2 linked regions of the Drosophila melanogaster genome follow. The protein of the gene in region 1 interacts with the protein of each later gene in a biochemical or structural test. Each region holds a gene or a part of one and is shown in the gene's direction. Other genes may lie near its edges.

What was found. The genes of interacting proteins can lie anywhere in the genome.
Region 2: of the proteins of ea (region 1) and spz, one has a biochemical effect on the other in vitro, tested with the Drosophila melanogaster proteins (3 studies listed by BioGRID).

The regions. Positions count from the first base shown.
Region 1 is NT_033777.3:15,325,331-15,332,140, forward strand, and holds ea (easter), read left to right. Parts: upstream 1-3,398; 5' UTR 3,399-3,602; coding exon 3,603-3,663; intron 3,664-3,752; exon of another isoform or gene 3,753-3,849; coding exon 3,850-4,236; intron 4,237-4,300; coding exon 4,301-5,031; 3' UTR 5,032-5,078; downstream 5,079-6,810. Other genes in the region: CG6236 (uncharacterized protein), read right to left, coding at 209-523, 601-905, 962-1,322, 1,380-1,983, 2,046-2,233, 2,300-2,450, 2,597-2,715; mRpL9 (mitochondrial ribosomal protein L9), read left to right, coding at 5,424-5,495, 5,553-6,227; Fkbp39 (FK506-binding protein 39kD), read right to left, coding at 6,374-6,810. UniProt on the Drosophila melanogaster protein: Component of the extracellular signaling pathway that establishes the dorsal-ventral pathway of the embryo.
Region 2 is NT_033777.3:27,068,436-27,072,525, reverse strand, and holds the start of spz (spatzle), read left to right. Parts: upstream 1-2,455; 5' UTR 2,456-3,316; coding exon 3,317-3,382; intron 3,383-4,090. UniProt on the Drosophila melanogaster protein: The activated form, spaetzle C-106, acts as a ligand for the Toll receptor. Binding to Toll activates the Toll signaling pathway and induces expression of the antifungal peptide drosomycin.

The DNA.
Region 1 (6,810 bases):
CATACAAAAATGTCATTTTTTTATTAACTCATTACTATCGTTGATTAAAGGAACGTATATTACAAACTGAGGCAGATCTTTTAACTTAAGGAGCCAGTGACAATATTCTTTGGAAGGAGTAATCTAAAATCTACAATCAGTGCAGAAATCTATTCCAGTTGATTGCTTAGCAGTTTCTATGTTTTGGACTTGTCATTTTGTGCACAAATCAATCGCGACAGTAGCAGTACTTCCGCAGCTCCGGATCCCGGTCGTATATGCACCGGGCCTGATTTCCATACTTATTGACGCGCGAGATGTCCGTGAGTTTCGTTGTGGCACTGAACGTGTGCAGGCTATAGGCCACGCTCGCCTCAAACAGTCCCTCGCCGGGCATCGTTACCACCTGGAGCTGGTACATCTCATCGCGGACCAGCGTCTGACCCGTCATGTCCGCCAGGAAGCCGTCGCGGTCGCTGTTTGTCCTGAATTGCAGCAGCTCCTTGTGCGGCTGCAGACGCAGCGCCCAATTTACACGGTGAATCTGTTGAACAATGAAACAAATGGAAGTATGATCTTTATCTTATCTGGAAATGTAATCATTAAATTGATGATTCGAACCTCCAGAGGTGCACAGTATTGGCGTTGCTCGACTGTGGCCAAGTTGATGGCATTTACAATACTTTGGGCAGCCTTGAGAATGATGCCCGTATACCGGGAGTCGTTCAGCTGCAATGGCAGCCAATTGAGGCAGGCACACCAGTGAGGCTCTATGTAGGCATCCGCACAGGATCGATTGCTCGGAATTGGATCCAACAGCGACATGGCACGTCCACGGGCTAACTCCGAGATGCGAATCCCAGGCGGGCTTGTTTCAGTTTTCGGATCGTTTATTTCTCCAAATTGATCCACAGCGGTTTGCAGTTCTGTGAAAAATCCAGCATTATTATCTTGTAGATGTCTAACGCTCTGTCGTACATACGTATTACGTGTTTCAGCGTGGCATGAATGTCGAATGGCGTGGTCAGGTGATGCTCGTTGGCCAGAAAGTTTTTGTACTCCTGCGGAAAGCGCTTCTTAAACGACTCGGGAAATACGAAACTGAAGAACGGCAGACGCTCTTCCTGTTTTCCCTGCAGAGTGGCTCGCACCTCGGCAAATCGATTGCCATGATCGGCCATCATGATGAGAATGGTGTCGTCTAGCAGCGATCGTTCCTTGAGCGCCACCAGCCAGTCATGGACATCATCATCCGCTGCTCCCACTAAGTTGATGGAGTCGTGGGACAAGCCGCCATGGAAGCTGAAGGCAAAGCGCGGTGCATCGCGATACTTAAGCATAAACTGTACGAAAATTATACAATGAGTTAGTTTCCAAGCACATTTCGAAAGAGAACATACGTTTTTTGTGTACTCCAGCATGGTGATGTGATCAGGCTGGTGGCCAATGCAGTTGGGCTTGCTCTCGGCGGCCATGTGCTCCGCCTGGACATAGTAGGTACGCAGGTAGTGGTCCACCGGCTGGGCCTCAAACCCTGTCATGCGGTACGTGAAAGTGCCCACATTGGGCAAATCCTCATTAAAGGAGGTCATATATCCCAGGCGGGCAAAATCCTTCCAAATCATAGGATACGAATCCACGCTGCCTGCCCCGGACAACCGCTTCCTTGTCTCCGGCAGCTCCAGTTCCGTGAAACCCGTCAGTAGGGGCACCAGCGCCTGTGGCGTACCATCGCCCACAATGTTATAGCCTTTGAGAACGGTGGCGCCCAACTGTTGGGTGAGATACTCGTAGGTCCTGGGCAGCTTGCGAATGAAGGCATTGCGACTCAGCGAATCGAAGCCAAACATGAGGACATTGTAGATGGGAGCTGTGGCCCCATCCTGCATCTGCTGCTGGGCCTGCGCAACCGCCTCGGGTGGTAGGACGGCCAAGTTCGGGGAGAAATTGGAGGCCGGTGGACGGGGCACCGTATCCCGTATTCCGTGGGCCATGCCAAACCAACTAAGTACATGAAGATCATTCTTTAAAGTATAGGCATAACTATAAAATAAGATAATGGTCACCTCTCGCCGCTGGAGGATCGACAGACCACCTTGACAAAGTCGCTGGCCTGCAGCACATAGGGCTCCTTCATGCGCAGTGACTGCCCAAAGCGAACCTTGTAGTCCGACTTGCGAATAATGTCCGTGTAGGAGCAGATCACATCCTCGTGGCTGGACGCAATCTCTGGTCGCACAAAGCAAATGGATTTCTTTGGGGGAAACGAGGTTTAAGTTAAGCAATCAGCTCTTGTAGAAGGGGCCCAGTCCCAACCAACCTCACACATGACCCAGTCCATGCCCTCGCCGCAGTTTATTCGCTCAACCGGCTTGTAGAACTTCATGATGTCCGGATTGTCCAGCGGCAGATGGGGATGCCGGCACTCGCCACGATTCACAGCCGATCTTATGGAGCGCTCGATGATTTCGCTTTAATTAAATACAAAATTGAATTAGTTGCAAAAGATAAATACTCTTTATCACAAATATGCGCATATGTACATATACATATGTATGGACAAACATCGTACAATCAATATCCCAAGCCGCTGTGACGCACAACTAGACATACTTACATTTTGAGGCTCTTATCCAGATCCCGCTCCACGTTCAACACATACCAGGTGACCAGCAGGACCACCACACAGCAACATGCTGCAATCTTGGGGACAGTTCCCCGCCGCACAAAGCGCATTTTGAATAAATTATGAGCTGCAAATATCGGACCAGACACATGAGACTTGCATTCGCATTATTGCTGCACATACAGCACTCACTCGGCACTCAAGCGACGTACTACTTACACCACTGCCGATCTCCAAACTTGCCGCCTATTCGACCTTTACTAAATATCCACGCTCATTTTTTAAATTAAACATTTAACTTATCACCAGCTGCGACGTACCGCTATATGCGAGTTGCCAAAACAGTGGCAAACAACATTGCGAATTCGGTCATACTGTGTTGTTTGGCAACGCGACCGCTGCAATTTAAACTGCGACTTTAAACTTTGCTTTAGGTCCGATTTAAAGTCGGTAGAACTTTCAGTTTGCTGTAGAACGAAATATACCGTTAGCTTATCGTTAATGATAGTGCTTTTTGCTATCAAAACACCATGTGATACAATCGAACTTAGGCGGGGATTAAATAATGGTAGATACTCCCTTAAATTTGCCGAGTACTTTACTTACACTCAGCATGTGACAAAGTAAATTCTATTAGTACCAAAGTTAAATAAGCCAACTGACAATTACTAAGAATAATAATTGGAAGAGAGATAAAGATCTGCTCCCACGATTATCTTCATATCTGATTTGGAGACTCGCCAAAAAGCTTGCGACAAAGCTCGCAGGCCGAGAACCGCGTCCGTCCGAAGATTCAGTTGTGCGCCAAGCTCAGCTTCGGCCTCTTCGTTTCACTCCGCTCCGCTGTGGCACCTGGTATCGTCCATATTATCGCGCCGTTTATTTTGATAACTGCTTCTGCGGTCGGTCTGTAATATTGTTTTTAGGCAAAACATTATCCGCAAACCACTGACGACGTCTTGAGAAAGGACTAACGAGGTCCGATTGCGCAACGAAAATGCTAAAGCCATCGATTATCTGCCTCTTTTTGGGCATTTTGGCGAAATCATCGGCGGGCCGTAAGTAAATAGAAGACTGCCAAGATGCTCATCTGCTGGACATGACTAGCTTAACGTATTTGTTTTTTTTTGCCGCGGGCCTTCACAAGTCGCTGGAAACCTGTTTCCGTACTTCCATAGCTAATGACCTAATTTATGTATTCACAATATTGGTAAGCTCTCTGAACCTAAAGTCTGGATTTCCAGAGTTCTACTTCCCCAACGAGGCGGCCCAGGTGCCCAACTATGGGCGCTGCATAACGCCGAATCGGGAGCGTGCGCTGTGCATCCATCTGGAGGACTGCAAGTACCTATACGGCCTGCTGACCACCACCCCGCTCCGGGACACGGACCGGCTTTACCTGAGTCGCAGCCAGTGCGGCTATACGAACGGCAAGGTGCTCATCTGCTGTCCGGACCGCTACAGGGAGAGCTCATCGGAGACGACGCCACCGCCCAAGCCCAATGTAACCAGCAACAGCCTTCTGCCGCTGCCAGGACAATGCGGCAACATCCTGTCCAATCGCATCTATGGCGGAATGAAGACCAAGATCGACGAGTTCCCCTGGATGGCTCTAATTGAATACACCAAAAGTAAGTAGAGGGGCATCGTCTTAAGTCTGAACGCACTTATCCACTGGTTAATTCCTACATGCAGGCCAGGGCAAAAAGGGTCACCATTGCGGCGGATCCTTGATCAGCACAAGATATGTGATCACAGCCTCGCATTGTGTCAACGGAAAGGCACTGCCCACCGACTGGCGGTTGTCCGGTGTTCGTTTGGGCGAATGGGACACCAACACTAATCCCGATTGCGAAGTAGATGTGCGCGGCATGAAGGACTGCGCGCCACCGCATCTGGACGTGCCCGTGGAGCGTACTATACCCCATCCCGACTATATACCGGCCTCCAAGAACCAGGTCAACGACATAGCCCTGCTGCGTCTGGCCCAGCAGGTGGAGTACACCGACTTTGTGCGACCCATTTGCCTGCCTCTGGACGTCAATCTGCGGTCGGCCACCTTCGACGGCATCACCATGGACGTGGCCGGCTGGGGCAAAACGGAGCAGCTGTCGGCCAGCAACCTCAAGCTGAAGGCAGCCGTGGAGGGATTCCGGATGGATGAGTGCCAGAACGTCTACAGCAGCCAGGACATTCTCCTCGAGGACACACAGATGTGTGCCGGCGGCAAGGAAGGCGTCGACTCCTGTCGCGGTGACTCCGGGGGACCGCTCATCGGCTTGGACACCAACAAGGTGAACACCTACTACTTCCTGGCCGGCGTCGTGTCATTTGGACCGACTCCGTGCGGTCTGGCCGGATGGCCAGGAGTTTACACGCTGGTGGGCAAGTACGTTGATTGGATACAAAACACTATTGAGTCCTGATTGTAAAATGTCATATTGTAAATAAATTCGACTAACGGTTTCCGTTTAAAAACTGCTTCACAGCGTGTACGCATACTGCATGTCGATGGGCGCGTTCGCCGAAATATTGGCATAGTCAATCTTTTATTTTGTAATGAAACTATTAAATTAAAATTGACAGTCATAATACTTTCAAAGGTACATTTTTTTTAATCAATTAAAAGGTAAATTGGGCAAATTATTTTGCTTTATTAAAATGTAAAGAAATAGTTGCAATAAAAAAACTAAATTCATAATCGTTTTCAAAGTCACTGAAAATTTTACTGCTGAACTCACGCAGATTAAATAATCATATCTGGCAACACTGCAAACTGGCTGAGTAGTCTGGCAACGCAGACATATTGGTGGTAAAAATGTTGAAGAACATCTACGTAACGCCGTTAAATTTGCTTAAATCGGCCACCAGCCTGCAGCAGCAAGTGCGGGTAAGTGCTCTCCTGGATTAGGGAAGCGATCCCCATTCACCACCAATTTGCTTCCAGACCACGTTCGTCCTGAAGCGCAAATATGACCCGCCGCTGCACAAAACCAACGAGAAACCCCGCCGGATGAGGGCCAAGAACTTCATCTACGAGCTCGTGGACGACACGCTGGTCAAAAAGCGGCCCAACATCGAGGTGGTGCTAAAGACCTTCGTCGAGGGCGTTGGCGACAAGGGCGACGTGGTGTCAATGAAGCCGCACTTTGTCTACAATAAGCTCCTGCTGCCGGGTTTGGCCGCGTACAATACGCCGGAGAATGTGGCCAAGTACGCCAAGACAGAGGCTGAAAAATCGACTGTTAAACACAGCTCCCCCTACGCCCAGCGCACGGTCAACATGCTGGAGACCATTGTGCTGGCGGTGGTCATGAACAAGGATGAGCCATGGGTGCTCGAGCCCTGGCACATCAAGGCCTCGCTGCGCAAGACTGGGTTCTATTGTCGCGAGGAGTGCATTACCCTGCCCAAGGAGCGCATCGAGGGACCCGACCTGAAGAAGGAGAACAAGGACTTCTACTGCACTGTGACCATAAACAAGCTGGAACAGGCGCGACTCAAGTGTCGTCTGCACCACTGGAGCACAGATCCCAGCGAACGGCTGCCTTACGTACTCGAGCACTGGAAACTCCAGTCTGAGCCCCTGCTGGATGTATGTTCACCCGAAAAAACCCCTTAGAGACCCCATACCAAATACATGCGATTGTTACAAAACTGTTGATTTATGAACAGCCGGAAAACAGAGTTTATTTAACATTTTTATCAAGTTGTACGACGTGGATACTTACTTAGGATTACAAGTCTATATGATGTTAATATAGTGCACTAATGCACAGCTTTCAGTTCCACTTCGAAGACGAGAGTGGAGTTCGGTCCGATCTTCGGTGGAGCTCCCCGTGCGCCGTACGCCATGTGCGGGGGGCAGGTAATGACTCGCTTGCCGCCCACCTTCATGCCGGCGACTCCCACGTCCCAGCCCTTGATGACCTCTCCGCCGCCCAGGGCGAACTTAAATGGTTTTCCCTTCAGGAGGCTGTCGAAGGTCTTGTTGTTCGACTGCAGGCGGCCGATGTAGTAAACAGATACGCGTTTGCCCTGCTTGGCTTCTTCGCCTTTGCCGACGACCTGATCCACAATCTTCACGCCTCCGGTGATAGTACGTGGATCCTTAGAAGCTGGTTGCTGCTTGGCTGGCTCCTTGGCCTTGGGTTGTTCCTTCTTGGCCTCTGGCTTCTCCTTCTTCTTTTGCTGCTGCTTGGCCT
Region 2 (4,090 bases), about 12 Mb from region 1:
GCCAAGGTGCCACATCGATTAATGGGCGTCCTAAATGAGCTCGTTTCCCTCTCGATTAATAACTATTAGGTTAATTGGATCAAGTCGTTGGAAAAATGGCACCTTAATTACTTAAGCTCTGTGATTTTCATTTGGCACTTCAAATTAACAGTTTAGGCTTACCTAATGTTCGCAAAGTTTGTGCTAATATGATACATAAAATGATTAAAATTAAAAGAGGAAGTATATTTGCTCATTAAAGCTAATCTACGCACATATTAACAGGTATTCAAAGCTTTACAAAGTTAATCATACTACAACTATTGCAAGACATTGTGAAAAGTCTTGACCTTTTCCAATGTATCAATTCTCAGACAAACGTATGATTCAATGTTTACTAATAAGTTGTAACTTTAGCCGTTTCGCTGAAAGTAATTAATGAAGTTAGTTAAGGCGGTGCTAACTTAAAATTTTACTGCTAAATGGATTTCAAATTAACATTTAGGATAGTGGAAGCTGAAATTATATACATTAACTTAGCTCATAAAAATACAATTTGGAAACCTCCTAAATATATGCACCACAAGCTTAATAGATCCCTAAAGTATGCAAGTAGATTTAAACAAGTTTGATGCAATCGTAATATATTGAAATGGTTTGTTCAGTTGAGGATTTAATTGATTTCTGAGAATTTTAGATTGTTTAGAACAGATATGTATGGGCATTACAATAATACAAAATTGCATCATCATGCAATTTAGTTATCTACTTACACAGCCCCCCTTCATTGCATTTTATTACGTACTAATTGATAAAGAAATTCTTATGAATCAACAGTGCAGCTGATGTTTCTACGAAATGGCCTCAACTCAGTCATTGGTGCATAATTCGGGGGAAAGGCTATGCTATGAGTAGATATGGCCAAGTAAAATGCATTCTGCTAAGAAGTTCCCGTTTTTCCATGGCGAACGACATCCACTTTGGGCCATAAACATAAGCACACAAGGTAGATCCATTCAGGCACGACTGCGTCAGATGCCGTTTACATGGCGATTACTTGCAGTGTGCGACTTAAAGATGCGGTTTTTTGTCCGCCGTTCTCGGAAATACCAATTGAGTCACCATCTTTCCCAAGCGCCTCAGCACGCTCCAAGGCGGCGACTGGCGGGCTAATTTAAGCGATTCGGATCTGCGGCTCCCATGACGCGTGCGCCAACGGAACTGGCGTTTGCGGCACCCGTTCGGAATATCAAATGTGTTAGAAATATTAGATGGGCTCCAACGTGGGGATAGTTTCATTGGTGGTGGTGCCGAGAGCAGAGCAGTTGTGCTCCGCGAGCTTTGATGCCGAGCTTTGGCCCGGCACCACTTTTACTTTCAGCAGCAACAAGTGCTGGCCGGCACCTTCTCACAGGTCAACTTGACCGACTGTGAGAAGCCCTACACTTGGCTAACATGGGTTTAGCCCGATAGAGAAGGTGGTAATCAACCACCCACTTGCCACAAAGTTTGGTTATTTTCAGCTCGGGGAAATTTCTATATTTTCGGGCTACCTATAAACTTGTTTTCTTTCTGGATTTAAATAAAAGTGATAATTCAATCGCTGCTTCTTTAAGTATACCTAATAAAAAAGCAATAAATCTCTAATCGCGTATGTTCAATAACAAGCGGACAGATAATAGTTAATTACTAAAATGGGTCGACGAAAAGGGCAAATTTGTACATAAGTGTTTATTAAGTACAGTATTCATTATTTCAAACGGAAACTTAATCATCCAAAATGCAGCTTTGATTGACTTCCGCAGATAACAAAGCTCTGACTTCGAGGCATCCAAACATTACTCTGTGGCTGCTCTAACTTTTTCGTAATATTTGTTTTAAAAAATTTTGCGATAACGAAGTTAATTTTTGGTGTCAAATGCCACTCAAACGATATGTACATTTTATGCAAAGCTTTATGGCAACTATGCTGATTAGAATGAATAAAATGTTTGTATGGAATTAGTTTTTGAAAGTATGTTTTTAACTTATGTGTTAAAATAGTACAATTGAGGGTTTGATATTCTTCTTAAAGCTCCAGTGATTTGTATTTGGTTTAACAACAGATGTAATTAAAAACGTTAGTCATTATAGTGTTAGTTTGATGTGCACTTACTTTTCTCCAAGTGTAATATGATTCAGATAATTCCGACTGGTAAAGTTTTTCGTGAAGCAGGCGCAATTAGTAGCACTGCTCGGAGTCAGCTGTGATAAAATCGCGGTCCGCTCGCCCAGACGTCCCGCTCCCTCGCACGACCCTCGCGCTCACTACCCATCCCGCTTCCACCGCCTCTGACCGGCGGCGTCTCGCTCGCGCACAGCGCCCGCTCCCGCTCACACTCTCGCAAGCTAGCTTAAAGCTGCACTTAAGCACTGAGCAATTGTTTGGGGGAGCAGACGAGTCGAGTCGGCGGCCTCTGGGCTCCACTTTTCATTTTCAGTTGCCTCCCAGACGTGCGCTCTCGCTGTCGTGTGTTCTCGATCGCGAGAAATCCAAATCGAAATCGCAGTCGAAATCGAACTTGGTTAATGCTTAACACTCTGCATGCCCGGGAGATATGGTGAAACTCTCGATCTGACCGGAAAATCCCAGCGCGCGTCGCTATAAACACTTAAGATCGGTGGCAGATGGTATCGGGCTTGAGGTCCATAAAAGCGCATTCATCTCGAGCTTTTCGTGTCACTCAAAGACGGCGCACAGAGCCGAAAAGTTGAAGACTCACATATCCTGCGATCAGCTACTTGGATAGCCCATTGCCCAGTTGCAAGCCAAATCGGTTATAAACGATATCAATATCGCGGCATTTCATCAGAGCAACCAAATCGAACCGATCCGAAAACGGTTCCACTAAAGCGGCGAGAGCGAAACTAAAGTGAAAAGCAAACCGACTAATTGAAGTGTCTGTCTGTGTGTCTCGCAAACGTGCAAAGGAAACAAACAAAACGGAATAGCCAACATATCACACAGAGCCACCGCACAAAATATTTATAAATAAATAAGAGGCAACAGTAACACCAGCTACCAGTATAAAGGCCCGGCATTAACATTTAGTCGTGCCAGTTTGTTTATTTTTTATATACGCAAAGCCCATAAAAAGAAAAAAACGCACAGATCACTAAAAAACAACAGCAGCCGGCGCTATAATAACAAAGTTGTAGAAATAAGAAAATTGGTATAAGACGCCACCGATCCGCCAATCACCTGCTATATACTATTACTAATCCCCGACGCAGACGTTCGCCGTCCGCAGAATCTATATATATTTATAAATCCAATTGATTAAGCCCGAGATCGAGCATGATGACGCCCATGTGGATATCGCTGTTCAAAGTCCTGCTGCTGCTGTTCGCCTTCTTTGCCACGGTGAGAAATTTACAATTTTACAAATTTCAAAACAGTCGAACCTCCATAAGGGAAACTTTCAAAAGAAGTTAAAGTTTTAAAATTTAAAGATCTTTGCGTCGAAACAATAATTTATTCCAAATCTATCTAATCTGATAAAAGGTTAAAGTCTCCTTGTCTTCTTAAGACAAGCACTTAAGATCTTAAGACTCCAGAACTTGATTTTTTGTTTATTTGAAACAGGTGCTCGCTTGTTCCAGTTATGAAAGTTCGACTGCATTTCTGTTTTTTTCTGTTCCGTGTTAATCTATGCTTAACATAACTGTCATTTCATTGCAATATATTTCGGGCTATGGGCTTTTTAGCTATTAAGATTTATTTTAGATTTTCCATAGTTGTTCTAGCAGTTCCATTAGCCGAAGGGCAGTTTCAAGTTTAAATTTAGTCACAGACTAGAAAACCTGTTCGCATTGCCAGCGGCAGGTTATGTGCAATTTTCATTCTCTATATGATAAATGCACATCATAGGCATTACAATAATATTAATTGACACAAACAATGCCAGACATTCTGCACACGACTTTGGAAGTAATTTACTGCCGGACAAATTGTATGATCATCTCTGTGAGAAAAGCAATTAGTTCGTATTAATGGCGTCGAATGTTAGAAAATCCGTTTGAAAAGCGCCCGAGAACTTTTGTCTTTCCGGTTTTCCGCGAATTCCGCAGC